Linked DNA regions of Sus scrofa. The protein of the gene in region 1 interacts with the protein of each later gene in a pairwise test. Links are inferred from orthologs where the notes say so. Each region holds a gene or a part of one and is shown on either strand. Other genes may lie near its edges. The genes, in order: ZBTB25 and SEPHS1.

Region 1 (3,827 bases):
GATCCCTGGCCAGGGAACTTCCATATGCCTCCGCGTGGCCCTAAAAAGCAAAACAAAACAAACAAACAAAAAATTAAAATGGAAAACTTTATGTTTATATGTATTTTACAATAATGAAAAATTTAAAAGGGTCTATTGGGATTGGTCCTTCTTAGATTTAAATTACACTAAGTTTATTTCGGCTTTCAAACTATACTAGTATATCTGCTCTAAATAACAAATGAATAGAGGTGTAACTTTGAAAAGCTTTAAATTAACCTCAAGCTCAATTTTCACATATGAATCTAGAATTCAGAAAATAGATGAGAATAACTGCCCAACAAGAAATCAGGAAACACCCTGCAAAATTAGGATCAAGACAACCTGAGGGAAACGTTGGATGACAGGGAACAATGGAATCAGTCAATGAACTTACTTACATTCCTTGAAGCAAAAGTCTGTGTCTATGCATCAGAAAGCACTGAATGTCACTATGCTGGCAATCCATTTCTTTAGTCCTGACATCTTAAGACTCCCTCTTGGGTTTCACACTTACCTCTGACCCCCTCACTGCCATGATTTGTGGCAGGTTTATTTATATATATATATATCAGCACAGAGCTTTGTTAACTGAGGATTTTTAATTGCTCAACAGAGATACCACAAAGCAGACCTGCCACCTTTGTATGTCCTGGGTTTAGTTTAGCACGGTGTCTGTTACACAGCATGTGCTTAAGAGCTGAACCAACTCACAGCTCTTGGATGAGACTTATGTGAAGGCAGTGTTTCTAATTTAGCTTCTACACAATCTCAAGTCAGAAAGGAAACTTTTTCTTTTTTTTTTTTTTTTTTTTTTTTTTTGCTTTTTAGGGCTACATTCATGGCGTATGGAGGTTCCCAGGCTAGGGGTCTAATCAGAGCTACAGCTGCTGGCCCATGCCACAGCCACAGCAATGCCAGATCCGAGCCGGGTCTTCGACCTACCCCACAGCTCATGGCAATGCCAGGTCCTTAACCCACTGAGTGAGGCCAGGGATAGAACCCACAACCTCATGGTTCCTAGTCTGATTCATTTCCACTGCGCCACAATGGGAACTCCCAGAGGAAACTCTTTTGTGTGGCCGAAAAAGGTACCCATGACCTGTCCTCTCCGACAAACTCCTCCCCTTTATGTCATATATTCTAATCATTCTGATCTACTCCATTTTCTGAATGTGCTAGCCTGGTTCATATCTGTTCATATCTTCTTTTCCATGCATTTTTTTTCCTCTTCCTGCAACGTACCATTCTACATTCCTCTACAGCATCTGAAAAACTAAACTCCTCTTGCTCCTTCAAGATCCAGAGCCTCTCTAAAGCCTGTTCTGACCTTCTCAAAAGGCTGCTGACAATCCACTCTACCTTGTACAGGACTTCTATTATAGACATAAGTAATCATTAATAGTAGCAGCTAACAGTGCAAAGCTCTGTTCTAAGCATTTTAATATTATTAATGCATTTACTCTTCTCAACACCATGGGGTAAGTATACTATTCTGGTGTTTTACAGAGAAGGAAACAGGCACAGAGAGATCAATGATACTGCAATTATTTTCTTTACATACATTATCTCTCTCTTAGACTATAAACTTCTTGAGAGCAGGGAGCATAACTTGTTACTGGGGTCTACCCCAGTAGCTGACCTTAAAGTACTCAATAAACAGTTAAACGAATGAATAATTAAATTAAAATAATTGAGGCTAAACTCCTAATTATTTCACGTAAGTTCGTTTGAAAAAACAAAGAGTGTCCTATCACTTTTAACTGGGGATGTATTAAAGCTATTCTTCACTAAGAGCTCAGAATCTGAATACCACTTTATGGCCCTCTCCCTAGATACCTATCATGTGGGGTAATTGAAATTCAAAATAACTTGTTGGAAAAAAATTGGAAACAAATAATCTTTGAACTATAATATGGAATATAAGGTGGGTAGAGTTAAGACACTAAAACCTTGTTATGCAAGTGTTATGGGACAGAAATCAAAAACTTAGTGATTAAAAGCACAGATTTACATTTGAGTTTATTGGCTGCCTAATCCTGGATGGACAAGTTACTTAACAACTCAGTTACAGTCTCCTTTTCTCTAAAACAGTATGGGTAACAGTAGAATTTACATTAGGTAAACACTTAATGTTTGTATTTGAAGGAATAAGCTTTCAAACTTTAGTTGTTTTTAAATTTTAGCTATTATTGTTTTCATTCTTATCTTCCTCCATGGATCCTACACACTGAGCTTAATTAAAGATGTGTAAAAATATATATATACATAAATTTTTATTATTTCCTAAGATGATCCCTTAACAAAGAATCCCCAAAACGATGTTATAATAAGGTTTAACTATATCACAGTATTAAAAAATTCTTCTGATTTATAAAAGCACATCCTTACCTTGTTTGGTGAATAAATATCATCTTAAAATAGTTAGAAAAAGCAGCAAGCACTGCTCTGTGGGCTTTGAAGTAGACATCTCCAATAGCAACGGTGCAATCACACAGAAAACCAAATTCTCGTTGCATGTTTAGCTGCTGCAGAAGGACAAGGCTATGGCTAGCTGTGTCCATTGTGGCTCTAAGAAAAAGAAAGACTATTTTAAAAATAAAACCGGCTAGGAATTCCCGTCGTGGCACAGTGGTTAACGAATCTGACTAGGAACCATGAGGTTGCGGGTTCGATCCCTGCCCTTGCTCATTTGGTTAAGGATCTGGCGTTGCCGTTAGCTGTGGTGTAGGTTGCAGATGCGGCTCGGATCCTGCGTTGCTGTGGCTCTGACGTAGGCTGGCAGCTACAGCTCCAATTAGACCCCTAGCCTGGGAACTTCCCATATGCCGCGGGAGCGGCCCAAGAAATGGCAAAAAGACAAAAAAAAAAAAAAATTAAAAATAAATAAATAAAACTGACTATGGTTCACACAAACCTACAGAGTACAAGGAGACCTAAATTTAAATGAAATTATTCAACGTTTTCAAAACTGTTCATTTTACCCCAAACCTAGCTAACATTAAATATCCCATCATGACAACCGACATCACCCCTGCTGAAATGATAAAATGTGGCCTTTTTAAAATCTGGTAAGAGGGTAGCTTGGTAAGGGTGACAAAGATGTGAAAGGAAGCCTGTCCTTTGCTATCTACATGACTACAATGTTTCTAGTCCTGTTTCCTCACTGGAAAAATGGGAATGAGGTACTTATCCTTGCCTCAGAGCCAAATGAGATAAGTTATGTGAAAAGCATCTTGTAATGGAAACTGCTATTCAAGTGTTAGCTATAAATGTTAATAACGTTATACTGTGTCCTGGCTGGGCTACGGCTGTGTTTACTCCTTAGGAATCCTGTGTGCTCAGGAGACGCTGGCCTCCTAACTACCATACAATATTTGGGAAACTGATCAGTCACAGGAAGTCCAGGAGCCCTTAAGTAGATGTCAAACCACATCCCCAGATTCTTATGGGGCTTGGAGCCCCAGAGGAAAAAAAACCTAAGCCCTGATCTTAACTGGACTCAAGACACATATAAGCATGGAGGTTTCCAAAGAAGCAGAAGATGGGACCACTGGTCTCAGGGGATGAAAATCACACACATGGAAGAACATGCAAAAGAATTCTGGCAGAGAAGCCAACTGTGAGCAACAAGACATACATGAGCACCCTGGGTGAGGGAGGGAGAAGGTATGATATTGTTTTGCATGTTTTAAAATGTTATATATTCAAACATAATAGTTTCCTCTACTGTTCTCCCAAGTAAAAAAACAAGGCTCATATCCTTTACTGTCTCATTTTAAACACCTTTAGGCAGCAATAAGAAATAA
Region 2 (3,232 bases), on another chromosome or scaffold:
TAAGTCTTTGGAGCATTAATATCTATGCTTGCTTTATTACCTCTAAAAATAAAGCATAGTATAGCATAGCCATTCTGGACTCTCCTTACAGAGTAACACAGTAAACTAGGAATTCAGACGTAATTCTTTTAAGGGCAATGCTCAGTTCAGACCAGAACTTTTGGCTCACATGACACCAGAACCATTTAAAACACTCGCACTCATTCAGCGTAAGGCAGGCAGAACTTAGATACGAGCTTCTCTTTGGTGAGCTTAGCTAGTCACTTAGGGTGCCCATGTAAGAGATTCCCTAGTCTGGCATCCTGAACATTCTGTCTGATTCTGTGGTCTTGGGGTGGGGCCCCCGATTCTGACTTTGACAAGCATCCCCAGGCGATTAACACAGGTGTGATCTGGACCACTCTCTGAGAAACACCCCTTTAATGCTCAGTTCTTCCTTCTCCATTACAAGGACCTCTAAGCACCCAGAATTTTCTCTTTCTAAACATGAATCTTCACTATGGTCACTATGGTTTCCTCGAGTGCACCATCTGATCAGCTGAGGAAACCATCAGCATTCAAGACAGGATCCACATGGGAAGTTCACATTTAGCCATCACTCCTGTATTTGAAGAGGAAAAGAAAAAAGCTCAACAGTATGTTCATCTCACTCAGAGGTTTCCAACACATTTTATTTTGCAGACCACTGGTTTGCAGCTTTTGAGACTAACATGGGTATCAATCCCTGTGAAGTGTCCAATGAATTTCAGTTCTGCGGCAGCCCTCAGTCCCGAGCACTCAGCTTGGGGCTTGAGTTCCAGTTACACGTGTGAAGAGGATGCATCCGAGGCAGAAGCCCTTCAGGGCCTTGGTCTCCCAAGTGGTGGTTTCCTTTGGCAAGAAGTCAGGCTGTTCTCTCCACTTTGGTGCCTGCAAACGGGAAGCGTTCAGAATGGGCGACGCCAGCGAATGTGGACACTTGAGAAGTCAGTGCACTTGTGCTTGAGGACGGGGTCCCTCCTAGACGCTTAGTAGGTGAAAATATAAGGAAGCCTCTGTTTTTAAGTAACACAGATAAACACCTTTTTAGGTCACCTATTTGTTCTAGAGCTACAAAATTTAATTCAAGAAAATATAGGTCCCATGAAAGACTTAAAAGTTTTATAAAACTAAAATCTAGTTTTCCCCCAATAAATTGTATTTTAGCCAAAACCCTCCCAATGCTTCTAAAATAATACTAAAAAGGGCATCTGATTATACAAGAGCAATAAAAAAAATTAAATATTTATTTGAATAACAAGTTGAAGTTTCAAGCTGCACAGTTGGTGATGCGTTTCCACACAGATCATAGAAAGCGTGCACGGAAAAGTACTGGTGCAAAGGACAAAATAATGCTAAGAATGAAGCTGAGTAGCTGCTGATTTTAAGAAAACAAGAGGCCTGACATCACTATACAAAATATAAAATGTATTAAACACTACCATCCACAGAAGTCTTTATTATTGATTATATTTAAAATTATTTGTGTAGTTAATTATATATTGGCTTGTAAATGAGTATCATACACGGACCCCCCCCCTTTCAGAGGGCAATTCTTTGCTGCACTACCAAACATCTAATTACACTGCAAAAAGTGTCCATTGTAAAGAAAACAGTTAATGATATTACTGTTAAGTATTAAGAAGGCTAACAAAAAAAGAAATAACATTTCTTTTTTGTTTTCAAAGTGCTTTCCATGCAGAGTTGAGCACTTGCCTTGTTTAACTGAATGCACTCTTGGGAAACGGCCTGGGTCAGAGATGCTCTTGCATTAGAAGACTCGAAGGAATCATGCAACCCTCTCACTACTGGGGTACCCTTGTGTCAGTCACCAATCCTGTCCTTCCAGAATATCATTCCAGACACTTCAAAAAGGATCAGACCGATAATGATAAATATACATAAACTGAAAAGACACAGACTGCTATTCAACACTACGACGCATAATGTCTGTGCTACGTGAAAGCACCTTTAAAAAGAGCCTACTCGGCAAGAGATAAGTGTCTAAAGATTCAAAATGAATCAACAGTATTGGATAACAATATAATTCTCAACTCAGAAGCTGCCTCAAGATTAGGTGCATCTTCAGTTAATGTAACAGGAAAAAAAGGCAATGGATTTTATTTTATTAATTGCATCCACTCACAAATCGACCTAAGGTCACCAGATGTGTAGACACAATGAGATTTTTTTCGTTGTTGTTTATAGTCTTTAATTGAAATGATAAAGGAAATAGAGCTATTTAAAACCAAAACCACACGTGGACCCGGCCGAGATTAAGAGGTGGCGCCCGGTGTGGGGTTCACATTCTGGGTGGCCACCTGTGGCGCGACCTCGATGATCCGGGGTTTGTCTATGATCCTGGCTGTGCGGTTCCCCTTCTCCACGATCCCAATAATCCACGCTTGGTGACCTTCACCATATTTGGGGGACTTGATCTCTGCGCAGAACCGAGCGGCTTGCTCTCGCGGTAAACAGATTAGAAGGCCCCCTGGCAAAGGAAACAAGAAAAAAGGATCATGTTAGTTGTGTCGCCATGAGAGTGCTGTCCCTGCCGCTGTCTCTCTCCAAGACTCTGCACTGATATGGCTGGGCTGCCCTCACCTTGTCGGCAGATCACACAGTCATTGAGCAAGTGCTCGGTCAGCTTATCCTGTTTCAACACACACCCGACAACAAACTCCCAGCTGTGGAAATGCCCCAGCTGTGAGTCACCTGAGGCCGTGTGGGGTGTGGGGGTGAGGTGTTTGGGGACCCAGTAACATCTGAGTGGCCATCTTTCCCAGGCTACACTGAAAGGATTTTTTAAAAACAAGAACGAACTTCTCCTTTTCAATTGGATTCTCTACATTTTACCACAAAGAGTATTCATATTTCTTCTCTTTCATATATTTATCTTTTAATTTAAAAATTAAGGTCATGAAAGTGTGCCTCTTAGTGGTTGGGTCCTGTCACTAGCTCTGTCATTATCTTCAAAAGAGAAAAAAAATATATAAAATACACGAAAACAAATCTTCATTGCTAGTTGAGTAGCTAGGCTAGAATATTCTATGTATTTGTTAAAAGAAGGAACACAATTAGGAAAAGATACATGTTAGACTTACATAAAAAAAGGAGTAACTTCTCAATTTTGAATAGAGACAAACTGCCTTAGTTGGGAATATTCATTAGTTCATTCACACGGATTCCAGGCCCAACCAGGTGGCAAACACGG

What was found.
Region 2: the proteins of ZBTB25 (region 1) and SEPHS1 interact in binary tests that used the Homo sapiens proteins (3 or more experiments, as listed by UniProt). The two-hybrid records come from large-scale screens. The link is inferred for Sus scrofa from reciprocal best matches to the Homo sapiens genes ZBTB25 and SEPHS1.

Annotation. Positions count from the first base shown.
Region 1 is NC_010449.5:88,561,490-88,565,316, forward strand, and holds part of ZBTB25 (zinc finger and BTB domain-containing protein 25), read right to left. Parts: intron 2,606-3,827; exon of another isoform or gene 2,590-2,605; coding exon 2,410-2,589; intron 1-2,409. UniProt on the Homo sapiens protein: May be involved in transcriptional regulation.
Region 2 is NC_010452.4:48,383,202-48,386,433, reverse strand, and holds the end of SEPHS1 (selenide, water dikinase 1), read right to left. Parts: intron 2,510-3,232; coding exon 2,295-2,509; 3' UTR 651-2,294; downstream 1-650. UniProt on the Homo sapiens protein: Synthesizes selenophosphate from selenide and ATP.